7 linked regions of the Oryctolagus cuniculus genome follow. The protein of the gene in region 3 purifies or fractionates together with the protein of the main gene of each other region. This does not show direct contact. Links are inferred from orthologs where the notes say so. Each region holds a gene or a part of one and is shown on either strand. Other genes may lie near its edges. The genes, in order: AXIN1, AXIN2, GSK3A, NBR1, FRAT1, PRUNE1 and GSKIP.

What was found.
Region 1: the proteins of GSK3A (region 3) and AXIN1 purify together in Homo sapiens (affinity purification with mass spectrometry; 12 studies listed by BioGRID and IntAct, with this or other methods). This does not show direct contact. The link is inferred for Oryctolagus cuniculus from reciprocal best matches to the Homo sapiens genes GSK3A and AXIN1.
Region 2: the proteins of GSK3A (region 3) and AXIN2 purify together in Homo sapiens (affinity purification with mass spectrometry; 3 studies listed by BioGRID and IntAct, with this or other methods). This does not show direct contact. The link is inferred for Oryctolagus cuniculus from reciprocal best matches to the Homo sapiens genes GSK3A and AXIN2.
Region 4: the proteins of GSK3A (region 3) and NBR1 purify together in Homo sapiens (affinity purification with western blotting; 3 studies listed by BioGRID and IntAct, with this or other methods). This does not show direct contact. The link is inferred for Oryctolagus cuniculus from reciprocal best matches to the Homo sapiens genes GSK3A and NBR1.
Region 5: the proteins of GSK3A (region 3) and FRAT1 purify together in Homo sapiens (affinity purification with mass spectrometry; 4 studies listed by BioGRID and IntAct, with this or other methods). This does not show direct contact. The link is inferred for Oryctolagus cuniculus from reciprocal best matches to the Homo sapiens genes GSK3A and FRAT1.
Region 6: the proteins of GSK3A (region 3) and PRUNE1 purify together in Homo sapiens (affinity purification with mass spectrometry; 3 studies listed by BioGRID and IntAct, with this or other methods). This does not show direct contact. The link is inferred for Oryctolagus cuniculus from reciprocal best matches to the Homo sapiens genes GSK3A and PRUNE1.
Region 7: the proteins of GSK3A (region 3) and GSKIP purify together in Homo sapiens (affinity purification with mass spectrometry; 7 studies listed by BioGRID and IntAct, with this or other methods). This does not show direct contact. The link is inferred for Oryctolagus cuniculus from reciprocal best matches to the Homo sapiens genes GSK3A and GSKIP.

Annotation. Positions count from the first base shown.
Region 1 is NC_091450.1:34,335,523-34,339,022, forward strand, and holds part of AXIN1 (axin-1), read left to right. Parts: intron 1-3,311; coding exon 3,312-3,500. UniProt on the Homo sapiens protein: Component of the beta-catenin destruction complex required for regulating CTNNB1 levels through phosphorylation and ubiquitination, and modulating Wnt-signaling.
Region 2 is NC_091448.1:11,836,925-11,840,424, reverse strand, and holds part of AXIN2 (axin-2), read left to right. Parts: intron 1-1,102; coding exon 1,103-1,243; intron 1,244-1,362; coding exon 1,363-1,862; intron 1,863-2,091; coding exon 2,092-2,286; intron 2,287-2,599; coding exon 2,600-2,830; intron 2,831-3,381; coding exon 3,382-3,477; intron 3,478-3,500. UniProt on the Homo sapiens protein: Inhibitor of the Wnt signaling pathway. Down-regulates beta-catenin. Probably facilitate the phosphorylation of beta-catenin and APC by GSK3B.
Region 3 is NC_091449.1:12,815,199-12,818,498, reverse strand, and holds the end of GSK3A (glycogen synthase kinase-3 alpha), read left to right. Parts: intron 1-441; coding exon 442-539; intron 540-617; coding exon 618-713; intron 714-1,122; coding exon 1,123-1,309; intron 1,310-1,603; coding exon 1,604-1,696; intron 1,697-2,129; coding exon 2,130-2,203; 3' UTR 2,204-2,800; downstream 2,801-3,300. UniProt on the Homo sapiens protein: Constitutively active protein kinase that acts as a negative regulator in the hormonal control of glucose homeostasis, Wnt signaling and regulation of transcription factors and microtubules, by phosphorylating and inactivating glycogen synthase (GYS1 or GYS2), CTNNB1/beta-catenin, APC and AXIN1.
Region 4 is NC_091448.1:19,834,569-19,838,719, forward strand, and holds the start of NBR1 (next to BRCA1 gene 1 protein), read right to left. Parts: upstream 2,801-4,151; 5' UTR 2,342-2,800; exon of another isoform or gene 2,291-2,341; intron 2,017-2,290; exon of another isoform or gene 1,930-2,016; intron 1,462-1,929; exon of another isoform or gene 1,310-1,461; intron 849-1,309; exon of another isoform or gene 685-848; intron 1-684. UniProt on the Homo sapiens protein: Ubiquitin-binding autophagy adapter that participates in different processes including host defense or intracellular homeostasis.
Region 5 is NC_091446.1:32,500,198-32,503,309, reverse strand, and holds FRAT1 (proto-oncogene FRAT1), read left to right. Parts: upstream 1-1,377; 5' UTR 1,378-1,599; coding exon 1,600-2,463; 3' UTR 2,464-2,612; downstream 2,613-3,112. UniProt on the Homo sapiens protein: Positively regulates the Wnt signaling pathway by stabilizing beta-catenin through the association with GSK-3. May play a role in tumor progression and collaborate with PIM1 and MYC in lymphomagenesis.
Region 6 is NC_091438.1:47,070,256-47,073,755, reverse strand, and holds part of PRUNE1 (exopolyphosphatase PRUNE1), read left to right. Parts: intron 1-2,859; coding exon 2,860-3,018; intron 3,019-3,500. UniProt on the Homo sapiens protein: Phosphodiesterase (PDE) that has higher activity toward cAMP than cGMP, as substrate. Plays a role in cell proliferation, migration and differentiation, and acts as a negative regulator of NME1. Plays a role in the regulation of neurogenesis.
Region 7 is NC_091451.1:40,752,754-40,756,767, forward strand, and holds the start of GSKIP (GSK3B-interacting protein), read left to right. Parts: upstream 1-1,214; 5' UTR 1,215-1,322; intron 1,323-2,473; exon of another isoform or gene 2,474-2,498; coding exon of another isoform or gene 2,499-2,575; intron 2,576-4,014. Other genes in the region: ATG2B (autophagy-related protein 2 homolog B), read right to left, coding at 603-764. UniProt on the Homo sapiens protein: A-kinase anchoring protein for GSK3B and PKA that regulates or facilitates their kinase activity towards their targets.

The sequences.
Region 1 (3,500 bases), on a different chromosome or scaffold from region 3:
CTCATTTTGGGGAGTCTCTGCCTGCGACTGGATGGGTGGCTCTGTGTCCAGCTGCAGGGAAGACAGCAGCTACCTGGCCAGACGCCCTGGGCCAGCCCACCTCCACTGTGCAGGTGGGTGCCACGGACACTGGCCGGGGACACGTTAGCTGAACTTGAGCGTAGCTGCTGTTTGTTACAACATGTGACTCTGTTTACATCTGTTACAAGTAGTGATCCTTTTTTCAAAGAAACTCAGGTGTTTTTAAAAAAATATTTACTTATTTGAGTTAGAAGGAGAAGCAGAGAGAGGGAGAGACAGAGAGAGAGGTCTTCCATCCACTGCTTCACTCCCCAGACGGCCTCAACAGCCAGGACTGGGCCAGGCGAAAGCCGGGAGCCAGGTTTCTGTCCAGGTCTCCCCCTGTGTGCAGGCCCACGCACTTAGGCGTCCTCCACCACTTCCCCAGGCCATTCATGGGGCAGCTGGGACTCTGACTCAGTGCCCATGTGCTGGCGTTGTGGCGTTGTGCAGTGTCCCAGGCAGGGCCATAACGTCCTGCACCACGATGCCACCCCCAGAACAAGAGTCAACGTTGGGAAGTAACTGCGTGAGGCTGGATGCCCGGAGCCTACAGTGAACGGCGGTCTTTGCACTGCCGTGCTGCCGAGGCATCAGCCCTGCCCGTCGCCCCCTGTGTGTGGGGGGGTCTCCTTCCTCACTGCACCTGCGCAGCATACAGGGCGAAAACTCTGGGAGGACCCTCGACAAAGACTCTCCCAAAGTCCCTGAACGGGAGCAGGAGGCAGGCGGAGTCCGCCGGGGCCCCAGTCTGCCCTGCTGGTGCTTCCCCGGCACCAGCTGAAGATCTTGTAGTTGACAGACCTTGCTGTCTTGTCTTGCTTTGCACTTGTGAGAAATTTAGGATATCTGAGGTCTGCTTATACTAAAATCCAAGGGTGAAGGGAGTGTCTTGTCCTAGAGTGAAGATGGTTGAATCCAGGCTGCTGCTGTGGTGTGGTGGGCTAAGCCTCCGCCGGGGGCACCAGCATCCCATATGGGTGCCGGTGTCCTGGCTGCTCCACTTGCAATCCGGCTCTCTGCTGTGGCCTGGGAGAGCAGTAGAAGATGGCCCAAGTCCTTGGGCCCCTGCACCCATGTGGGAGACTGGAAGAAGCGCCTGCCTGGCTCCTGGCTTCGGATTGGCCCAGCTGTAGCCGTTGAGGCCATTTGGGGAGTGAACCAGCAGATGGAATTCCTGTCTGTCTGTCTGTCTCTGTAGCTCTGCCTCTGAAATAAATATATTTTTAAAAGACATTTATGTCCTTTTGGGCCAGCCCCCATTGGGTCAGTGGGCTAGATGCGCGTGATGCAGCACCCCGTAGCGAGTGCCAGTCGGTGCCAGCTGCTTGGCCTCCCGTCTGCTCCCTACTAGTGCTGCTGTCGAGGCAGCAGATGGCGACCTGAGTGTTTCGGCCTGCCACCCATAGGAGAGACCCAGACGGAGGGCCTGGCTCCTGGCCTTGGCCTGGCTCTGCAGGCATCTTGGGGTGAACCAGCAAATAGAAGATCTCTCTGTCTCTCTCTCTTCTGTCACTCTGCCTTTCAAATAAATAAAGCATTCAGAACAGGGCGTGGACACTTGCATCCCACATTGGAGCACCTGGGTTTGAGCCCCAGCTCTGCCCTCCACTCCACTTCCTGCTGGTGGGCCCCTGGGAGCAGTGCTGGCTCAGGTGGTCGGGGCCTGCCACCTGCACGGGCGACCTGAGTAGGTGTGACGCTGGGGCACCTGGGGAGTAGCCAGCAGGTGGAGGATTGTTTTGCGTCTCCCCACCCTTCTCTCTCTCTCTTGCTCTGCCTTTTGAATAAAGCAAATAAATAAATAAATGTTTAAAAATAAATGGGTAAGGGACCTGTGCTGTGGCTCAGCGGGTTAAAGCCCCTGCCGGAAGCGCCGGCATCCCATGTGGGTGCCGGTTCGAGTTCTGGCTGCTGCTCTTCCGATCCCACTCTCTGCTGTGGCCTGGGAAAGCAGTGGAGGATGACCCAGGTGCTTGGGCCCCTGCACCCACGTGGGAGACCTGGAAGAGGCTCCTGGCTCCTGGCTTTGGATTGGCACAGCTCCGGGTGTTGCAGCCATCTGGGGAATGACCTAGCAGATGGAAGGCCTCTCTCTCTCTCTCTCTGTCTCTCTCTCTCTCTCTCTCTCTCTCTCTCTGTCTCTGTCTCTGTCTCTGTCTCTCTGCCTCTCCTTCTCTAACTCTGACTTTCAAATAAATTAATTAATTAAAAAAAAAATAAATGGGTAAATAAAACCCAGGGGATGACGTAGGCTCCACCTTCCTTTTTGATTGATTCCAGATTCAGTCAGCACCTTAAAAAGGTTGGTTTATTTTGAAAGGAAGAGGCGCAGCCGGAGAGACGGAGTACATGGTCTTCCACGTGCTGCCCGCACGCGGGTCAGGAGCAGTGTAGCTGGCATTTGAACTGTCACTCGGGTGTGGGACGCAGCGTAACCTGTGCCACTGCACGCAGCACCCACCCTGAGGTGTGACCAAACCGTGTGCATTTCCACGCCTGGTAACAGATGCAGAAGTGTGCCCGCCGAGTGCGAGCATTGAGTCAGCTCTGTGTGCAGGGGCAGGATTCTCTTGGCAAACAGGAATAGAGGAATTGGAAGGAAACGCAGTCTTTGCTGCGAACGTAGAAGAACATAGAGATGTCGGTATTGTGTGCAGTGGGTTAAGCTAGAGCCCGCGACTCTGGCGTCCCACTGGGCGCCGGTTCGAGTCCCGGCTGCTCCACTTCTGATCCAGCTCTCTGCTGTGGCCTGGGAAGGAGCGGAGGAGGACTTAAGTGCCTGGGCCTCTCTACCACGTGGGAGACCTGCATGTAGCTCCTGGATTTAGCCTGGCCAGACCTGGCCGTTGGGCAATTGGGGAAGTCAATCAATGAATCTCCCTCTCCCTCTCTCTCTCTGTAATTCTGCCTTTTAAATAAATAAAATCTTTAACAACAACAATAACAAAAAAGAAACAAGAAAATCGATGGAGAGCCTTCAGTGCCATGACTGCATGTGCCCTCTGCGCTCCAGGGGCCCCGTGCTCACCCTGCTCCAGTCTGCCTGCTCCTGGCCAGCAGCCCAGCATCATGGGAGCAGGGATCAGTCGGGACGGGGAGCCCTGGAGCCCTCTGGTGTGGCGCTCGGTCCCAGCCCAGCCGCTGCCTCTGCAGAGCCAGCACGTGTTGGGGGCCCTGGCCTCCAGGACGCACTGTGCCGGGGCCATCCTGTCCACCCCCCGTGTGACTTGCTGCCTCGCCCCACGCAGGAGGAAGAAGGAGAGGATGGTGACCTTCCCCCTGGGCCCCCAGGGGCGAGCCACAAGTTGCCTCCTGCCCCAGCCTGGCACCACTTCCCGGCCCGCTGTGTGGACCTGGGCTGCGCCGGGCTGCGGGACGCACACGAGGAGAACCCCGAGAGCATCCTGGACGAGCACGTGCAGCGGGTCATGCGGACC
Region 2 (3,500 bases), on a different chromosome or scaffold from region 3:
AGAAACGCTATTATTTTCCAAGCTTGTAAATTCGAGGATTTTGTCCTGGGGTGTGCAAATTGACTTTCTCCCCATCAGCGCGCAAAGCCAGCCTGTGTGAGAACCGGCCACCTCCTGCTGGGGGTGGGGAGGGGGCTCTCTCTGCCCCCTCGGGCTGGTTCTGCAGCTAAGCGGTTGCCCGGGCGAGGCCCCTCTTCTGCTGGGGCTGGCGTTCTCTCCACCCCCCGGCCCCCAGAAAAGGGCGAAGCGGGCGGGAGATGAGGAGGAAGGAGGCGAGCCGCCGGGAGGGGGGCGGGGCGGGAGATGACAGAGAGGCGGCGGCGGGGGTCCGCCCCGCGTGCTGCAGTTGGCAGGCGATGCGATCGCGGGGCCTCTTTATATTCCGCACTTGATTTGGAGATGTTCCCTGTTCCCTTGATGGCTCAACTTCAGGCGGCCGAGCGCAGCAGTGGTCTGCTACTAGCCTGCAGCAGCTCTCTTCATTTTCCGTACAAAGAGATGGGGAGGAGGGGAGGAGGGGAGGAGGAAGGCGAGGGAGGCCGAGGCCAGTGTGGAGACAACAGCACCTCAGAGGTGCGCAGTGTGCGGCCAGGAACGAATTACCGCTGCTTCTCTGATCCGGGCCTGCCGACACTCTCTCTTTTTTTTTTTTTTTTCCTATTCCCCCCGCCCCCACCTCCTTTGCAATCTTACTTTCTTTAATTTCCAACTCCCCTTCTGTTTAGACGCTACTTTCTATTCCTTGAGTTGCTCTCGCTCCCCTCCCCATCTCAGAGGGCTGCTTTTTTTTTTTTTTTTTTTTTTTTTTTTTGATGTCTGACAACAGTCTTTGAAGATTGTCTACTTCAGAGTAGCTACTGATGGGCTGGTTGTACTACAGAGGGAACAAGCAGGGCCTCTCGGAGTGCGACCAACTGCTCCTGCCCAAGGCAAACGCTGGTGGGGACCATGGCTCTCCATGAGGCCGCGGCGCCGCCGCATAAAAACCCCGACAGCCCCGGCCGCCGCGCCAGCCGCTCTCCGCCCCGGCACGGGCGCGCGGGTTCCGGCAGCTCCGGCCTGCTAAGCGCGCCCCGTCCCTGTGCCTCCCCGCGCCCCGCAGAGAACCCACCGCCTGCCCAAGGAGATGACGCCCGTGGAACCCGCCGCCTTCGCGGCCGAGCTCATCGCCAGGCTGGAGAAGCTGAAGCTGGAGCTGGAGAGCCGCCACAGCCTGGAGGAGCGGCTGCAGCAGATGCGCGAGGTAGGCCCGCGCGGTGGCCCTCCAGCGCTGTGCGTGCGTGCGTGCGTCCATCCCGTGCGTGCGTGCGTCCATCCCGTGCGTGCCTGCCCACACGGCCCCTCTGCGCCATCCCGTTCCAGGACGAGGAGAAGGAAGGCTCCGAGCCGCCGCTGAGCGCGCGGGAAGGCGCGCCCGCCCAGCACCCCTTGTCCCTGCTGCCCTCCGGCGGCTACGAGGAGGACCCGCAGACGATCCTGGACGACCACCTGTCCAGGGTCCTCAAGACCCCCGGCTGCCAGTCGCCCGGCGTGGGCCGCGCCAGCCCCCGCTCCCGCTCGCCTGACCACCACCATCACCACCACCAGCCCTACCACCCCCTCCTCCCGCCGGGGGGCAAGCTGCCCCCCGCGGCCGCCGCCCCGGCCTGCCCACTGCTCGGGGGCAAGGGCTTTGTGAGCAAGCAGACCACGAAGCACGTCCACCACCACTACATCCACCACCACGCCGGCCCCAAGACCAAGGAGGAGCTCGAGGCCGAGGCCACGCAGAGGGTGCGCTGTTTGTGCTCCGAGTATTACTGCTACTGCAAGTGCAAGAGCCACCCCAAGGCTCCGGAGCCCGTGCCAGGAGAGCAGTTTGGGTAAGTGCCAGGCGGTCTGCGGCAGCCCGCGTGGAGCTGTTCTCCCGGCCAGAGGCCTGGGCAGGGGTGAGGCGGGGTCCGCGGCCACAGGCGTTTAGCGCCGGGGGAGGGGGTGCAGGTGCATGGGTCTGTCGCGTTCCCGGCCCCTGCTCGTGCGGTTGTCCCATTGGAGGAATCAGGGGAAGTAATGAGGGTCTCTGGGTTGGGTGTGGGTCTTGGTTTCCTGCAGTGGAAGCAGAGGCAGTACCTTGCCCAAACGAAGTGGGAAAGGCACGGAGCCTGGCCTGGCCCTGCCCGCTAGGGAAGGAGGGGCCCCCGGCGGCGCTGGGGCCCTGCAGCTGCCTGGAGAAGAAGGAGACAGGTCGCAGGATGTGTGGCAGTGGATGCTGGAGAGTGAGCGACAGAGCAAGCCCAAGCCCCACAGGTAGACGCTGCCGCCCCCGGTCACGGACACGCACGCGCGGGGGTCTCGGGGATGGCTGTTTTCACAGTTGGCTGAAAACAAGTGCGACTGTTTGCTCCTGCCATCTTAATATTAAACGTTGGACTTGGGCAGACCGCAAAAATGTCATGTTTTGGCAGCCACTCCCGTTCGTGTTATGGTAGAGTTATTTTTTTCTTCTGCCTCTCTCTCTCTCTCTGAGCAGAATAGACAAGTTTCTATTGAAGTCACATTTTCCAGTTTTTCTAACCCAATTTCTTCCCTTCTACTTTCTCTCTCTGCATCGTTTGTTCAGTGCCCAGAGCACAAAAAAGGCCTCGCCCATGGAGTCTGCTCGCGGGTCCCCGGGCGAACGGGTCAGCCGGCACCATCTGTGGGGGAGCAGCGGGCACCCCCGCACCGCCCCCCGTGCCCACCCCTTTACCCAAGACCCTGCAGTGCCCCCCCTGACCCCACCCAACACGCTGGCACAGCTGGAGGAGGCCTGCCGCAGGCTGGCTGAGGTGTCGAAGCCCCCCAAGCAGCGGTGAGTGGGAGAGAGGGGGTCCGCGCGGGATTGGAGGGGAAGGGGGCACCCTTCTTTCCTGCCTGGGTCTCAGGCCCTCCTGGAAGCAGGCGTTGCTTCTGGCCGACTAAGATTCGCCCTGCAGCCTCTGGGCGTGGGTCCCACTGCTGTGCCTGACTTGAACCCGGATTCAGGAGCATACACTTGAATAATTCCTTACACACCCCATTCCTTATAAAACCTCTCGGTCCCTGGGGGCTGCTTAGCTGAGCGTGTGGGAAACTGGCTGGGGAGATGCAGGAGTCTTTAGCCCTTGGCGTGGGCTGAGGATGTCCTGTGCAGGGTGCCCAGGGGGCTTGCAGCAGCTGTCCCCAAGTGTCATCCAGGCCTCCTGTAGCCCCAACGAACACAAGGCCTTACTGGGTCTTCACAGGGATGGAGGTTGGGTCCGTTTCTCTTCCTGAGGCCAAAGAGAGTGTGTGTGTGTGTGTGTGTGTGTGTGTGTGTCCGTGTCCCCTGTAACCCTGGGGGTGGCCACACCTCTAAAGCCCTCCCCCTGGCTGTGTCCTCAGGTGCTGTGTGGCCAATCAGCAGAGGGACAGGAACCACTTGGCCGCTGGTCAGGCAGGAGCCACGCCCTTCTCCAACCCCAGCCTGGCCCCCGAAGAGTGAGTGTCTCCACTGCCCGGTA
Region 3 (3,300 bases):
TCTTAGGTATGACCTTGCGCCCTGAGGGTCAAGGTACTAGGGAGGGGTGAGAGTGCCGGGTTACAGCTCCTCCCCTGGGCGGCAGGTGAGGAAGGCAGGGATCTCTGGCCTGGAGAACAAAGGTGCCACGGGCAGGTGTGGGCCTCGGTGTCTGCAGGCTAACAGCGCAGAGAGAGGGCTGGCTGGGTTTGGTGAGCAGAGGCAGTGAGGGCTGGGACCAAGCCGACTGGAGGTGCAGAGAAGCTGCACGGATCTGGAGGCTCAAGGTCGTGCCCAGGGCTCCTGAAACGTGTTACCTTGGGCCGGATGCCTCATCTCTGCCGAGCTGAGCGAATGGGGCTCCTGGCCTCTCTCTGGTGGCCTGAGGGATGGAAGCCTTTGTCAGGGGATGGGCGCAGCAGCCCTGCTCGCCGAGCTCTGACCCTTACCCACTCCCCGCAGATGTGTGGTCAGCTGGCTGCGTGCTGGCTGAGCTCCTCCTCGGCCAGCCCATCTTCCCTGGGGACAGTGGGGTGGACCAGCTCGTGGAGATTATCAAGGTGAGGATGGTGCCAGGGTAGGCAGCGGGTGGGGCTGAGGGATGGGGCCAGGCCTCAGTCCCCGTCTTCTTCCTGCAGGTGCTGGGAACACCAACCCGGGAACAAATCCGAGAGATGAACCCCAACTACACAGAGTTCAAGTTCCCCCAGATTAAAGCTCATCCCTGGACAAAGGTGGGGCAGGGCTGGGGACCTGGGCAGCCTGGCAGAAGGGTGGGTCCCCTTTGGCCTACTGGCCTCAGAATCATAGCTCGGGAGGGGGGGTGCGAAGTTATCCTGGGAGGGGTCAGCCGCTCCCATGATTTCAGAGTAGGTAGAATTTTAAAAGTTGAGGACGCACAAGTACATTCCAAGGTTCCCCTTTTCTTGGTGGGTGACAGGCTCACAGCAGGGCTCAGTGTCTCGGTGCCGGGGCCAGCTTGCTCACCCGATACAGACAGACTTCCCCGACTTCCTCACTGGGAGATGGGCTCGGGGAGCTCGTCGTCAGGTCTGCCGAGAACAGTGGCAGTGAGGCACAGGGGTGCCAGTGCCTGTGGCAGCGCTCACCTGTGGCCCCGCGCCCCCTGCCCCCTCGCCCCAGGTGTTCAAATCTCGAACGCCGCCTGAGGCCATCGCGCTCTGCTCCAGCCTGCTGGAGTACACGCCGTCCTCACGGCTCTCCCCGCTAGAGGCCTGCGCCCACAGCTTCTTCGATGAACTGCGATGTCTCGGAACCCAGCTCCCCAACAACCGCCCGCTCCCCCCTCTCTTCAACTTCAGTCCTGCCGGTGAGGGTGCAGCAGGGGGTGGGGAACCGTGGGGGGACAGCAGAGGTTGGGGGAGAAGAGCTGGGTGTTGAAAACACGACCGGCGAGCTGCGTGAGGGTGCAGCGCAAGCCGGGGCTCTGGGAAGATGGCCTCAGTTCCCTTCCGCTGAGTGTGCTGCTTAGAGTTCAGTGGCTGAGTGTCCACGAACTGGCCCTGCCAAGAGCTGGGTGCCCAGTAGGGATCCCATCGTAACCCTGCATGGTCTCCAGATGGCTGCTTCCACCCTGACTGGGCGTGTCGATTCCTGTCTCTAGAACTCTCCATCCAGCCATCTCTCAATGCCATCCTCATCCCTCCTCACTTGAGGTCCCCGGCGGGCTCCACCCCTCTCTCCCAGTCCTCACAAGGTAAGCTGGGACCGGCTGCTGAGGGGTAAGCGGTGCCCACAGTGCCACAGCTCCCCGTAGCTGTCTCTGAGCCAGAGTTCCGACGGTGCCGAGCGCGTCTCAGAGCTGGCAATGGCCACCTTTCTGGGTGTGCTGTGTGCTGACTGCAAAGCCACAGAAGTACAGAAAGTTGAATTTGTCGAACTTGTCGCTCAGAGTTAAAAACTGGGCCATTTTGTGTACGAATCCAGATTGCCTGTATTTTGTTGGGGAAGCAAATCATAGTGGGTGGCTCTGGGCCTGCCTTTCCTCCCGATGGAGTCCCGCTGCCACCGTTCAGTCCTCAGACGGCCCGGCCCCGAGGTGGCAGCGTTCCGGTCCGTGTAGCCACTTTTGGTGGGAGGGGCCCTGGAAGGCCAACGCTAATTGTCTGCTCCTTCCCTCCCCCCTTCAGCTTTAACCGAGGCTCAGACCGGCTCAGACTGGCAGTCGTCCGAAGCCACACCTACCCTCTCTAACTCGTCCTGAGGGCCCCTCCAGCCACCTTTCCACTTCCATCTGGGAGCCCCAAGTGGGGCTGGGAAGGGGGCCATAGCCCATCGAGCTCCTGCCCTGGCTGGGCCCTGAGACTAGAGGGCAGAGGTAAATGAGTCCCTGTTGCCACCTCCAGTCCCTCCCTCGGCAGCCTCGACCCTGGGGTGGCTTTTTAAGAGGATTTTAACTGGTCGTGGGGAGGGAAGAGAAGGAAGGACAGGGGTGTGGGGGTATGAGGACCTCTGCCCCCTTGGCCCCCTCCCCAGGCCTCCACCTCCTCCAGCCCCTGCCCCTCCTGTGTCCCTTGTAAATAGAACCAGCCCAGCCCGTCTCCTCTCCCCTTCCCTGGCCCCCGGGTGTAAATAGATTGTTATAATTTTTTTCTTAAAGAAAACGTCGATTCGCACCATCCAACTTGGCCCCTCCCCTCCTACAGCCGTATGTCCCCTCCTGTCCTCTGCCCCAGCGTCTGCTCCCTCCTCTCCACACCCTGGAGGGCCAGGGGAGCGGGGAGGGCTCCTGATGTCTTAGTTTCCACAGTAAGGTTTGCCTGTGTACAGACCTCCGTTCAATAAATTATTGGCATGAAAACCTGGCTTCCTGTCTGGCTGCGCCTTTCACTGAGGTGAGGGGGTACCTGTGCGCTGTTCTGGGACAAGCATGTGCTGTGTCTCAGGAGGGGAGGGTGGGGGGCCGAGGTGCCTGACTGTCCTGTGCCTTCGCTTTCTCCTCTGCACGGATCCATGGTAGGGGCCTGGGAGAGGTCCGCCCCCAAGAGCATAAAGCATCTGTTTTGGCTTAGGGGAGGGGTCAGCACCCAGTGCACACTGAGAACTGGGGGTGGGAGGTCAAGGCCGAAGAGCACACTGGTAGTCAGGACTTGAAGCAAGAGCTGTGTCAGCCTGAGCTGCCTGCTGCTCCAGGGTGCAAGGAGACACAGAATGATGAGGGGTCACCCGGCCACAATGCAGCCTGCTCGTGGTCTCAGGCCGGGCCAGAACCCCAACATCCGCGGGCCTTCATGCCGTTTTACACAGCACCCATCTGGTCCATCTTGAGGATGCTGAGAAGCAACGGCCTGGAAAGGGTGA
Region 4 (4,151 bases), on a different chromosome or scaffold from region 3:
GGTTAAGCCTGCATCCCATATCAAAGTTCTGATTCAGCTCCCTGCTAACATGCCTAGAAAAGCAGTGAATGACAGCCCAAGTACTTGGGTCTCTGCTACCCACATGGGAGACACAGATGGAGTTCTAGGCTCCCAGCTTCAGCCTAGACCAGCCCTGGCCATTGTAGCCATTTCCGGGAGTGAACCAGTGGATGGAAGAGTTTCTCTCTGCAACTCTACCTTTCAAGTAAATAAATAAAATCTTAAAAAAAAAAAAAAAGGACATTACTACAATAAACCAGTCTTCAGGGGTAGCCATTTGGCCTAGCAGTTTACAGTTGCTGGTTATGACACTCACATCCCACACTGAAGTACCTGGATTCAGTTCCAGGCTTTGGCTTCTAATCCAGCTTCCTGCTAATGCAGACTGGGAGGTAAAAGCGATGGCTCAGGTAGTTGGGTACCTGTCACCCATGTAGAAGACCTGGGTTGACGTCCCAGCTCCTGCTTCTACCTAGCTCAGACCCAGCCATTGCAAAGGTTTAGGAATGAACATGTATTTCCCTCAAATAAGTCTTCAGAAGCTTAAAAATACTATTTTTTTTTTCACAGTATAACGAACTACTCTCAAACAATACAACTGAGACTGCCACTTTAAAGACTCTGAAATCTCTGAAGATCGGGATTTCATTTTTATAAACTTACTCAATGATCTCTGCAAATTTTCCCATTCTTTTTCTCCACTTAAATTCACCACAAAGTAATGCCAGACTCGCAGCAATCCTACTGACTTCTAGCAGTCATTCACATGAAATACATCTCTTGGGGTCCTTATGATATGGGTAGAATCCCTGACAATTCCCTGTGACCTTGTGCAAAAAAAAAATCAGAGAAATGAAGTGACTAACTCAGCCTGCCCTAAGTGAATATTCTGAAATATACTTTTAGTTTCCAATGTCAAGAAACACATTCTCATACTTTTGAAAGTCCGGAAGGAAACCAATCTTCCTCCTTCTTGCCCAAATTATCCCATTAGAAATTAGTTCAGATACTTGGCACTCACCCAGCTGGTCTGCCAACGGGGAGCAAACAGGAAGTGGGAGATTCTAGCTTAGCTGGACCACAGCCAGGTCTTCATAAAGAACTGCCTATCTCTTTGGCGTTCATGTGAAAACTCTTTCAAACGAGAGCATAAATCTTGAACTTTGGAAATACTTCAACTCTGGCTCGTTCCGTGGCTCTATAGATGTAGGGCCCGTACAGTCAGGTAGCTGGGGCCCACGCCCTCGGCTTTCATAACTGGTATTATAAGTTCATGTCACTGACTCACCTTAGCTTGGCACAAGTCAGCTTTTCCTCTACGTCGGTTTTTTCTTCTTCTTTTTTTTTTTTTAGCCTCAAAAAAAATCCTTTTAATTAAGCAGACCTGGGACTGCGAGCTTTGATTACTGTCCTATCCGGGCTTTTAGTGTGATATGAAAGCTAGGTGTTTGACAAAAGAGATAAACAGTGCTTTTCCAATACCGAAGTTCCCTAAGGTCTCTGGACGCGGGTCTCAGAAAGGGGACGATGTGATGAGGGGGATGTGTGGGGAGCGTCTTCATCCTGCTCTTCCAGCCCCCCGTCTGCCTCGCACTCCATGTCCCCAACACACTGTCATCGCCCCCTAAGGAGTTACTCCTCTGCCTAGGCCCTCTTTGTACTGGGAGATCCCGACCTCCCGTCGGTACAAGCCAGGCGTTCTGAGCCACGGCCCCTCCATCCCGCCGGCGGCATCGGCTCCCTCGGTCCCTCCGAGCGCGAACGGCTCTCGTCTTGTCACTGAAAAGACTGGCTGCCCCTAGACACGGAAAAAGTCGCCCCTATTTGCAGGGTTCCTCCCCTGAACTTCCCCAAACCCATTCAGTGTGACGTGACCCCACTCCTAGGTAACCGCAGCAGCTTGCTTACCAGCTTCCCGCCCCCGGGGGGCGCCTGCCGGAGGCCAGTGCAAAGACCGTTCGCTGCCAGCTCTGCTGCTCTCCCTGCGGGCAGAATCTAACATGGCGGAGAGAGACAGGGCCTAGTCCCCTGTTTCCTCCGAGTTTCCGACAAGATGATTGGCTCTTACCCTTGTCCCTCAAAACGACCACCCCCCCATTGATTGGTTGAGACTGCCCTGGCGGGGGCGGGGAAGACACAACCTGACCCTCACAACAACAACAAACACCGGGGCCGAGGGGCGGAACTACGAATGCGCAGTCCGAGGCTGGGGCGGGTTACCCCTCCCCAAGCAAACTCCGCGTCCTCCGCCTTCCCTCAGGTCGCTGACCTTAGTGGACACGCGAGGCCTGACGGGAATTGTAGTCTTCCTGGAACTTACAGGTTCTTTAGCGTCCGCTCTTAAGATATAAACACCTAACAGCACTCCAGTCCATAGCTGTCGACGTGCATAACCGCGCGGATGGCTCCAGTCTTTCAACTACGTGTCGCGAGGATCGTGCCCGTTTCCAGAGTCGGGAGCTCTTCTCCATAAGACTACAGTTTCCAAGGAACACTGTGGCGAAGGCCTTTCGTTACGCAATGCATGCTGGAGATCGTAGTTTCTTTCCCCCGACAATCTTTTTATTTACCTAAACGGGGCACGTCCATTGCGGCGGAAAGGGTGAGGGGATGGGCTCTCTTCTTGCGACTGCTGTGAGCACTACCTTGCGCTCATATTCAGGCCTCAGGTAGTGATTCCAACCCTTGTCCAGCAATTACTGTGACGTAATAAGCTGTAACCAGAAGCGTAGAGGCGAGGGGGCGGCCACCTAATAGAAAACTCAGAAGTCTTTCTCCCGTCGCTTTCTAATTACGTCATGCGGGGGTGGGGTGGGGCAAGAGAGGATGGCCAATCCGGAGCTGGGAGGCTCCTGCTCCGCCCTTCCGCTGACGTCCTTTAATCTCGCAAGCTGAGAGGCTATAGCTCCGCGGGAGCGGCGGGTTTCCATGGCGACCGAAAGCGCGGGAATTACAGATAAATTGAAACTGAGACTGCGCGTCGTGAGTTTTCTGCGGCTTTCTGGACCGATTACAGTCGGGGGGCGGTTTCTCAGATAACTGGGCCCTAGGGCCCGGAAAGCCCGGACTCCGATCTGGTTAAAGGTGAGAGAGTCCCTAGGAAATGAAGAGGGAGCCAGGAGGTGGTCAGTTGAGAAACAAACAGCTGTGAGAAGAGTGGTCTCCCGAAGGAGAGCGAGATGGGCATTCCTCGGGCCGGAGGGTGTGGGGGTGAAATCTGAAGGGCCTACGGGCTGTGTGGCTCTGAGATGAATCCTGGGGAGGGGGGCAGTTTGAGTCACCAGGCGGGCACCGAGGATAAGGACAGGCCACGGTGTGTCCGAGGGAATCCGGGTGACCGGATGTGCAGGGGACACCTTGAGCGTAAGAATGCCAGAGGCAGGGACCTGGAAGAAGGCCCAGGATTGTCGGGGAAGAGGAGGAGACAGGATTTTGTGTGAGACAGAACCCTCTGGAATTGGATCCGTAGGCACTTTGGGGAGGGGACGGGAGAGATGTATGCTCCGGGTGCGTTGGTGCTGGAGCAGGTCTGTGGGACGCTCTGGGGAAAGGCAGGGGTGGCGAGTGTTCCTGGTGTAGGTTTTGCTGTGATTGGTGGCAGTGCCTTTGGTTTTAATCAAGAAAATGAAAAAGAAAGAAAAAAGCCAGCCTGGATGGCTGGAGAAAGCTGAGGCTGTCACCACTCACCCCATTGGAAACCTATATGTAAACTGTAGAGAATTCAAACCGTCTAATTACACAAGGCTTCGTGCAGAATTTTTTTTTTTTTTTTTTTTTTTTTTTTTTTTTTTGACAGGCAGAGTGGACAGTGAGAGAGAGAGACAGAGAGAAAGGTCTTCCTTTTGCCGTTGGTTCACCCTCCAATGGCCGCCGCGGCCGGCGCGCTGCGGCCGGCGCACCGCACCGATCCGATGGCAGGAGCCAGGAGCCAGGTGCTTTTCCTGGTCTCCCATGGGGTGCAGGGCCCAAGCACCTGGGCCATCCTCCACTGCACTCCCTGGCCACAGCAGAGGGCTGGCCTGGAAGAGGGGCAACCGGGACAGAATCCGGCGCCCCGACCGGGACTAGAACCCGGTGTGCCGGCGCCGCTAGGCGGAGGATTAGCCTAGTGAGCCGCGGCGCCGGCCCGT
Region 5 (3,112 bases), on a different chromosome or scaffold from region 3:
AACCATAATATACTAAAGCATTGAAATGGCCGCTATTGGCAGGCACTGTGGCTCACCAGGCTAATCCTCCACCTGTGGTGCTGGCACCTCGGGTTCTAGTCCCAGTCGGGGCACCGGATTCTGTCCCGGTTGCCCCTCTTCCAGGCCAGCTCTCTGCTTGTGGCCCGGGAAGGCAGTGGAGGATGGCCCAGGTCCTTGGGCCCTGCACCCGCATGGGAGACCAGGAGGAAGCACCTGGCTCCTGCCTTCAGATCAGCACAGCGCACCAGCCGTAGTGGCCATTTGGGAGGTGAACCAACGGAAGGAAGACCTTTCTATCTGTCTCTCTCTCTCACTGTCTAACTCTGCCTGTCAAAAAATAAAAAAAAAAAAAAGAAAAGAAATGGCCACTATTTTATGTTCATGCAAACCACTCACCATTTTCCTCTCCCGCTACACTTGGGAGCACCTCCTCCTCTGCTGGGCTGAGGCCTTCCTTAAAACTTTGTGCAGGGTCGACCCTGTGGAGCAGTAGGTTAATACTCTGCTTGTGGCGCACGTATCCCATATGGGCACAGGTTCGAGTCCCGGCTGCTCCTCTTCAGATCCAGCTCTCTGCTATGGCCTGGGAAAGCAGTAGAGGATGGCGCAGGAGCTTGGACCTCTGCACCCACATTGGAGACCCGGAGGAAGCTCCTGGCTCCTGGCTTAGGATCAGCTCAGCGGCCATTTGGAGAGTGAAAGAGTGGATGGAAGAATGAAGAGCAGATGGAAGAATGATCTCTCTCTCTCTGCCTCTTTGTAACTCTGCCTTTCAAATAAATAAATAAATCTAGAAAAAAGGAAGAAAAAAAAAAGTCTTTGCAGCTCACAGCCCCTTTCAAGAGCAGCAACCGCCAGGTCTCCAGCAGTCCCAGCCCCCGGTGCAGGCCCCAAACCCCCAGGCTCCCAGCTGAGAAACGTCGGTCTGTGGCCCTGCTTTCTTTACCTTTCCCAACTCCGCCAGCCCCATCGCACTACAGGGCTCCCCTCCCTCTCTCCATCCCCGCCAATCTCGCCAGACACCGGCACCCCGACCTCAAAAGCGCAAACGCTGCGAGCAGGCGCGGGGACGTGCGGAGCGGAGGACGTGTGTAGGTGTGTGTGTAAGTGTCTGCGCTTGTGTGTGGGAGCAACCAACAGGGCGCACGCCGGTGTCCTTCCTCTGCGGACGCCAGCCACGCCGGGTGGAGGGAGCGTGGAGCAGCTCCCCTGTGCGCCCCCACACGCCGCGCTCAGAGACCCACGCGCAGACGCGGCGAGGCTTTCCTCCGGACCCCAGGCCGGCAGCAGCCTGTCCTCCCGGGGCATGGCTCCCCCCACCCGGCGCGGTGGTAGGGCCCGGCGCGACGTCACCCATTGTTTACAAATCAACCCGAGCCGGCAGCATTCCGGCTTCGCTGCTGCAGGCTGGCTGCGCGAGCGCCAGCCGGGCCCGGCTTTTGCGTCCGCCCCGGTCCCGGCCCAGACCCCGGCTCCGGCCTTAGCCCCACGCCGGGATCAACCGCGGCCCACCCAATCCGCGGTCCGCCCAGCCGCCAAGCGACGCCCGCCGAGCTCCGGGTGCCCGGGCCGAAGGCCATGCCGTGCGGGAGGGAGGAGGAAGAGGAAGCCGGCGAGGAAGCGGAGGGGGAGGAAGAAGAAGAGGAGGAGGAGGAGGAGGAGGAGGGCAGCTTCCTCCTGCTGGAGCAGTCGGTGACGCTGGGCGGTTCGGGCGAGGTGGATCGGCTGGTGGCCCAGATCGGCGAGACGCTGCAGCTGGACGCGGCGCAGGACAGCCCGGCCTCCCCGTGCGCTCCCCCGGGGCCGCCACAGCAGCAGCCCCCGCGGCCCCCGGCGGCGGTGAGGGCGGACAAGGCCCGGGCCCCCGGCGTGCCGCTGCTGCCGCCGCCCACGTTGGCCGAGGCGGTGGGCCCGGCTCCCCCGGGTGCTGTTCGCTGCGCCCTCGGGGACCGTGGCCGCGTGCGAGGGCGGGCTGCGCCCTACTGCGTGGCCGAGCTGGCCGCGGGCTCCAACGTGCTGTCTCCGCTGCCCCCTCAGCCCGGCCTTGATGTTCCACCGGGGGCCGGCAAGCAGGGCATCCCGCAGCCGTTGTCAGGCCCGTGCCGGCGAGGATGGCTCCGAGGCGCCGCCTCCTCCCGCCGCCTGCAGCAACGACGCGGTTCCCAACCCGAAACCCGCACGAGCGACGACGACCCGCACCGGCTCCTGCAGCAACTAGTGCTCTCGGGAAACCTCATCAAGGAGGCTGTGCGGAGGCTCCATTCGCGAAGGCTGCAGTTGCGCCCCAAGCTTCCCCCGTGCCAGCTCCCGGGGCCGCTGTCCGCCCCGGCACAGGAGCCCCGCTCGCCCCGAAGCCCCCGCGCGGCCTGCAGTGACCCAGGCGCGCCGCGGAGGAGGGCGCAGCTCAGAACTGGAGACGGTGTTCTCGTCCCTGGCAGCTAACAGCCAGGGTGGCCGCAGCGCCGGCCTCCGACTGGGAGACCATGGGGCTCTCCGAGGGCTGCATCCCTGCTCAGACTAGTGGAGAGCTCGCTCCTTTTGAAGCAGAGAAAATAAGCTGGTGTAGACGGAGAGCCGAGACATCGCGAGTGTTTTCGCGGGCGACGGTGGTCCAAGGCCCCGATCTGCTTGCAATTCAGCTGGCGCTGCTCAGGACTCCCAGTTGGCGGTGACCCGCGCAGCCCACGACCACGTGGCCGCGGCCCAAGCTTCTCGGGCCCGCAGAGCACGGAACGACTGTAGAGGACCGCAGTTACTTGCTTTACCTTTCCAAGGCTGTTTCCCGATCCGTGTCGGGGGAGGGCGACATGAGCAGTTTCAGGGAGCACCCCAACCTGCCGGACTTGAAGATTGTACGACACTTAGCAAACCCAGCGCGTGTCTTTCCGGGTGCTGTTCTTAACAGAAACCACGCGGCCTCGGGAAAGGACCCTCTTGGGGTTGAGTGGGAGTAGCCTTTTCTTCTGCCTTCTCTTTGCAAGCTGGCCGCCTTTTCCTGAGCGCACGGGGAAGCCCGTACACCACGGGAGGACGGCGGCGGGGGTGTTGGAGGTGGGAGGGTGGGGTGAGAGGCGCAGGGACCCTCTGTCCT
Region 6 (3,500 bases), on a different chromosome or scaffold from region 3:
TTCTCTTTATTATGTTTTTTATTTGTTAATTATTTTTTTTTTAAGATTTATTTATTTGAAAGGCACAGTTACAGAGAGGCATAGGTAGAGAGAGAGAGAGAAAGTCTTCCATCCACTGGTTCACTCCCCATATGGCTGCAATGGCTGGAGCTGCACCAATCCAAAGCTAGGAGCCGGGAGCTTCTTCCAGGTCTCCCATGTGGGTGCAGGGGCCCAAGGACTTGGGCCATCCTCCACTGCTTTCCCAGGCCATAGCAGAGAGCTGGATCGGAAGTTGGAGTTGCTGGGACTAGAACCAGTACCCATATGGGATGCCAGCACTGCAGACGGTGGCTTTACCTGCTATGCCACAGTGCTGGCCCCTAATTATTTTCAAAACATTTATTTATTTATTTGAAAGGCAGAGAGAGAGAGATATCTTCCATCTACTGGTTCACTCCCTAAATGACTGCAACAATAAGGTCTTGGCCAGGCTGCAACAGCCAGTCTGGGGGCCAGCATTGTGGTATAGCGGTAAAGCTGCCACCTGCAATGCCACCATCCCATATGGGTGTTGGTTCGAGTCCCAGCTGCTTCACTTCTGACCTAGTTCCCTGCTAATGCACCTGGGAAAGCAGCAGAGGATGGCCCAGGTGCTTGGGCCCCTGCACCAACATGGGAGACCAGGAGGAAGCTTCTGGTTCCTGGCTTCAGATCGGTTCAGCTCTGGCCATCGTGGCCATTTGGGGAGTGGACCAGCAGATGCAGGATCTCTCTCTCTCTCCTCTCTTTCTCTGTAATGCTGCCTTTCACATAAATAAAATAAATCTTTAAAAAAATACAAAAAATAAAAATAAAAACAATCAATCTTGGCCAGGCCAGAGTCAGGAGCCAGAAAATCTATCCTGGTCTCTGACATGAGCTGGATTGGAAGCAGAGCAGCCAGGACTCAGATCAGCACTCTGATATGAGATACTGGTGTTGTAAGTGGGTAGTTTAAACTGCTACACCACAACACCCACCCTTTTTGAAAAATATATTTTTAAAAAGATTTATTGGGGTCGGCCCTGTGGCATAGTAGGCTAAGCCTCCACCTGTGGCTCTGTAATCCCATGTGGGCACCGGTTCATGTCCCAGCTGCTCCTCTTCCAATCTAGCTCTCTCCTGTGGCCTAGGAAAGCAGTGGAAGATGACCCAAGTCCTTGGGCCCCTGTAGCCACGGGGGAGACCCAGAAGAAGCTCCTGGCTCCTGGCTTCGGATCCACGCAGCCCCGGCCCTTGTGGCCAACTGGGGAGTGAACCAGCAGATGGAAGACCTACCTATCTCTGCCTCTCTCTCTTTCTGCCTCTGCCTCTGCCTCTCCCTGTAACTCTACCTCTCAAATATAAATAAAATCTTTTTAATAAAAAAGAGATTGATTTATTTATTTGAAAGCAGAGTTGCAGAGAGATATCTTCCATCCACTGGTTCACTCCCCAATTGATTGCAAGGGCCAGGGTGGGCCACACTGAAGCCAGGAGCTTCCTCTGGGTCTCCCACATGGGTGCAGGGGCCCAAGTTCTTGAGCCATCCTCTGCTGCCCTCCCAGGAGCACCATCAGAGAACTGGATTGTAAGTGGAGCAGTTGGGACTCATCAGTGCCCACTTGTCACAGCGCTTGCCCCTGAAAACTATTTATTTGAAATGCAGAGCAATAGACCTAGGTACTTTGTTTTAGCAGCATTGCATAACTAGCTAAACCAGAAGGAAACTTTTTTTAGTTAATTTGAGAGAGAGAGCAAGAGAGAGAGAGAGAGCAAGAGAGAGAGAGAGAGCATGCGAGAGCGCTCCCATCTGCTGATTCACTCCCTAAATGTCCAAAATGGCCAGAGCTGGGCCAGGCTGTAGCCAGGAGTCAGGAATTCAATCCAGGTCTCCATCTCCCATGTGGGTGGCAGGAACCAATGACTTGAGCCATCACTGCTGCCCCCTACAGCCTGGATTAGCAAGGCACTGAGTCAGGAGCCAGAGCTAGGTGTTGAGCCTACATACTGATAGGGAATGTAGGCATCATAACTGGCAGCTTAACCATGAGGCCAAATGCTTACCCTAGAACACATTTTAATGCCAGCTCTGCCAGGAAATAGTTGTATGGCTTTGAGCAAATTTCTTAGCCTTTCTTTTGCCATTTTCTCCATTTTAAAAACAAGTTACAGTTGGAATAGACTTTCTTCCAGATGGTAAGATTCTTTGGTAGACTTTGGCCTATTGAAGAGTTGTCATCTCTCTCTGACTAGGTTGTGAAATCCACAAGGATTGAGACGCTCAGACTTCCTTTCCACCTTTCTCCCTTTCCCCAGCTCCGTTTTATTTTGGATATGGAAGGTCTTACTCAGAACAAAGACCATCGCACTTTCTTGTTTTGTTTTCAGTGAGTTTGCCATGCAAGTCTCCTCTGTATTTTGTCAGTGTGGTTTGAAGGGTATGTGTGTATGTGTGTGTGTTTTAAGATTTATTTATTTATTTGAGAGGCAGAGCTACAGACAGAGAGAGGGAGAGACAGAAAAAAAGGTCTTCCATCCACTGGTTCAGTCCCCAAATGGCCACAACAGCCAGAGCCAGGCTGATCCGGAGCCAGGAGCCAAGAGCTTCTTCTGGGTCTCCCAGGAAGGTGCAGGGGCCCAAGCACTTGAGCCATCTTCTGATGTTTTCCCAGGTCATAGCAGAGCGCTGGATTGGAAGAGGAGCACCCGGACTAGAACCAGCACCCACATGGGATGCCTGCACTGCAGATGGATGCTTAGCCCATTACGCCACAGTGCCAGCCCTGGTTACGTGTGTTCTAGTGGCTGTGAGTGGAGGATCTTAGGATTTGACTTCTTCCCTCTCTGTCTGCACAGGAACCATCATCCTGGACTGTGTCAACATGGACCCTAAAATTGGAAAGGCAACCCTAAAGGACAACCAATATGTAGAGAAACTGGAGGCCCTCTTCCCAGATCTGCCCAAGAGAGATGACATCTTTGATTCCCTCCAAAAGGCAAAGTTTGATGTGTCAGGTAGGAAGTGGCACAGTGACTTCCCTACCTCCTGCATGAGAAGACAAGTAGGCAAGCCTTGCTCATTGTAGTCTTTTTTTTTTTTTTTTTTGAAGATTTATTTATTTATTTATTTGAAAGTCAGAATTACACACAGAGAGAAGGAGAGGCAAAGAGAGAGAGAGAGGTCTTCCACCTGCTGGTTCACTCCCCAATTGGCTGCAATGGTAAGAGCTATGCCAATCCAAAGCCAGGAGCTTCTTCCAGGTCTCTCAAATGGGTGCAGGGGTCCAAGCACTTGGGCCATCTTCTACTGCTTTCCCAGGCCATAGCAGAGAGCTGGATCAGAAGTGGAGCAGCCAGGACTCGAACTGGTACCCATATGGGATGCTGGCACTGCAGGTGGTGGCTTCACCCACTACACCACAGCACCACAGTGCCACAGCGCCACAGCGCCAGCTCCTATAAATGCATTTTCCATCATCTCTCTGCTTCATGTCCTC
Region 7 (4,014 bases), on a different chromosome or scaffold from region 3:
AACCAGCCGGTGAGCACGGTCAGACACCGTGCCCCGGACGCAGGGACGCAGGCCAGCGCTTGGGCGCGTGCAAACACACACCAAGCACCCGCAAGACACAATGAGTCAACTCGGCCTCCGACGACCAGTGGAGAACCGGCTTTAAAATGTCTGAAAAGTGCAGCCTCAGCGCTTTTGCAACACCTGCTCTTACGATCTGTCACGTGAAGCCAAAAGGCACGCACACTGTCCGTGTAAACATAGCCTGGTACAAAGGCGTGCAAGCCGGCGGACGAGGCCTCCCCCGCTGTCCCCCGGGCCGGACGCGGCGTGCCCGGGGGCCTCGGCATCCCACGGGTCCCCCTCGCCTTTCCGGAACGCTACGCCGCGACACGGGGTCTGCTGGCCGTGGGACCCCCGATCCGCGGCCCAGACCGCCCCCGCCGCCCGCCCTAACTCAAGCACTCCCCCAGCGCAGGCTCCCATCTGTCCGCTCGGTTTCTGGAACACGTGATGTCCAGCACTCAAAACACGTTTCTCCGGGGCCGGCCACACGCGGGTCCCCAAATCCCGGGGGGACGGCACCGAGGAGGGGCGCGGGGCCCGCCGCCCGCAGCTCTTACCCATTTGTCCAAGGGGACCTGGGCGAGGGACCCGGTGCCCTGGTACAGGTCCAGGCTGAGCTGCTCCAGGCTCAGCTTCTCCTGCAGGAAGTGGCCCAGGTACCTCTGCAGGAGGTACCGACAGGCCCTCTTCTTGATGGACTCGGAAAACGGCCACGGCATGGCGGCGGCTGAGGGCGGCGGCGGCGGGGCCCAGGCTCCGGCTCCGGCCGCGAAGGCGCTCCGGGGCCCGGCCGGCGTCCCCGGGCCGCGGCGGGGCCTAAGCCCGGCGCGGCCCCTTCATGCCCGCTCACCGCCGGGCGCCCTCAGGCCGACGGCATCGCCCGCGCCGGACACCGGTCGCAGGCCCGGCAAGGACCCGGCGCAGAGGCGGCCCCGGCGTCCGGGGCAGGGACTCCCGAGGGGATCCTCCTCGGCCCGGACACGGGAGCGCGCGACAGGAGGCGGCTGACACCTCCTCGGCAGCCGCGCGACGAATTTGTTGTCATCCACGAAGCGCGCTCCCGAGCCTGGGGACGCTCCCGGCGCGTTCGCGAGAGCCCAAGGCGCCTCACGCGCACGCGCGCGGCCGGGCGCAGGCGGAAGTGACGCCACACTGGGGGCCGAGGGAGGCGGGAAGAAGAGCCGGGGCCGGAGCAGTTCCGGCTCCGAGGGGGCGGTGCCGCGGGCCGGCTCCGGCGGCCTCCCGAGGGAGGAAGAGGAGAAGGCGGGCGAGCGCAGGTGAGCGGGCGGCGGCGGCGGCGGGGGACTCAGGGGAACGGGCGGGCCGTGGGGCCGCCCGGACGGGGGCTGCGGCGCGGCAGGCCCGAGCTGCGGGGCCGGCAGGCCGAGAGGGGTCGGGCGGGCCCGGGTCGTCGGGGGCCCCGGGCGCGGCGGCTCGGAGCGCCGCTGTCTGGCTGGGGAGGACCGGGGCGCCCCTCGGGCCTCCGCGCCCGCCCGCTGGGCGCCGAGGGTCCGCCCCCGCCTCCTCAGGTATTGTTCCCGGAGCCGGCCGGCGGCCGGCGGCGCGCCGAGCTCCTCCGGGGCGTGTGGCACCAGCGACCGGGAAACTCGGGAGTTGGAGCATCTGCGGCCAGAACTGCCGCCTCGGGTCGACGGCAGGGCCCGCTGACCGCCGGGGACCCGCGCTGGGGTCCCGGGTCGGCGTCGTGGCCCTGGTGCGCGCCTGCGACCGCTCGGCCCCGGGCTCGCCGAGCCTCCTTCGCAAGGGGGAGGGTATTAACGTGTCTTAGTCCGAGGATGATCGTTAGGAAGGTGAGCGGACGTGAAGCCCTGACACCCGTGCACCTGCCGTGGGGTAGTGAATTCGCGGGGCTGAGGACAGTGCTGACCGTCTCGGTAACTGTTTCGCGAAAGCCTTGGAAGCACTAACAGAGCCCCGAAGCGTTGGCGGATGGGGAGAGGTTGCGTTCCCGTCCACGCTGGCTTCTCCGCGTGGGGACCGTGCGGCCCCCGGGGTCCTCGGTGCCCCTCCCTGTTGTAGACTCAGCCCGAGTGTCCTCAGTAGCGACCCTTCCCTGGCGCCGCGTTCGTGGGGAAGCGCTTACCGGGGGTCCAGAGAGTGGAAGTCGGTGCAGTTCCGTGTGCGAAGATCAGAGCGTCCCGGGAGCTGCGGTTCTAAAGTGTGGATGGGGGGGGCGGGGGTTCACTCAGTAGGAAACGTTTACTGGCTGCGCGCCAAGTGCCGGGGACACCACGGTGGGACAGCGAAGTCTCTGCTCTCATGGAGCCCTTTGTTGAAGGGAGGGGAAATAGGTAACAGCGTGCCATGGGGCGGTGAGCGCTGTGGCAGGGAAAGACAGCGGGCGGGGCAGAGGCGAGAGGTTTGCCTGTCTTGCCTCGGACGGTGAGAGAAGGTGTTCTCCAACTAGGTGACATTTGGCAGAGACGTGGAGAATGCAAGGTGCACAGGTGTTTGGAGAGTTGGTCTCCCCACACGGGGGAGGAGCGAGCGTGATGGTTGAAGGGGAATCGTGAGTAAAATAGGAAGAAGAGACTGGGAGGAGGGACGGGAAGTCTTGCAGGGTTCTGGGCCTTTGGCTCTCACTCTGGCTGAATGGGAGGGTTGAGGAGAGGAGTGACATCCTCTGGCCTCAGTTTGCAGGATCCTGCTAACTGCGGTGTTGAGAATAGGCTGGCGTGGGGGTGGGCGGGTCCAAGGTGAACAGAGCGAGACCAGTTAGGACGGTGTTGCAGTAATGCAGGCGAAAGATGACGGTGGCTTGGACCAGAGTGGTAGCAGTGAAACCTGTTAGAAGCAGTTAGGTTCTGGATATTTGTTGAAGCAAATAGGCTCCCTAAAAGCAGAATAAAGAAAATGATATGAAAAGTCAAAGGTGGGGGCCTGCCTTGTGGTACAGCAGGCAGCCCATTGGGTGCTGCTGCTCCACTTCCAGTCCAGCTCCCTGCTAAGGCACCTGGGAAGGCAGCGGAGGACTGGGCCCCTGCACTCACATGGGAGACCTGGAAGAAGTGCCTGGCCTGGCCCCAGCTGTTGTGGCCATTTGAGGAGTGAACCAGTGGATGGAAAACCTCTCTCTCGCTCACTCACTCTCTCTCTCTCTGCCTTTCAGATAAATAAATAATAAAATGAAAATTGGGCTCTCATCTGAGAGGGCAGTAGAATAGGCCTTGAGAGCTTTGAACTGGGCTTCTGACCTAGCAATATGATTTGGACTTACTTCCGATGACTTAAATACATGGTTTCTTTAGCAATGTAGAATACATTCAGACTGTCAACGGATGCTTGCAATTTCACTTATCAGAAAGGAAAATTAAAATTGAAGGTTTTTTCCATTTAAAGTGTTAAATGCTTCCTTGTGCATTTTATGCTTTTCAGGAGAATTTCAACATAATTTTTTTTTAATTTTCTTTATTTATTTGAAGGGCAGTGTTAGGGAGATACAGAGAGAGATCTTTCACCAGCTGGTTGACTCCCCAAATGGCTGAAATGCTTAGGGCTGGGTCAGACAGAAGCCAGGAGGCTGGAACTCCATGTGGGTCTCCCACGTGGGTGGCAGGGGCCCAAGTGCTTGGGCCATCTTTGCTGCTCTCCCATGTACATTAGCAGGGAGCTGGTAAGAAGTGGAGCAGCTGGTACTCAAACCAGCACTCATATGGAATGCCAGTGTTGCAGACTGTGGCATAACTCTGTGCCACAACGCTAGCCCTAAGATAAATGTTAAGGTTTGGGACCAGTCATTATTATCCCTGTAGCCCAAACAGGACACAAACTCATCCCCAGACACAGTGCTATGTTTGTGTTTATGGAAGACAGAGTACCTAGCACAAAATATTAACACCTGACATTGATTGAGGTAGATGAGAATAATTAATTACCCAACCACATTTTGTCAGCTTTTTAAGAATTATATTGAAGAGTTTAAAGTGACAGAGTAGAAGCTATACATCA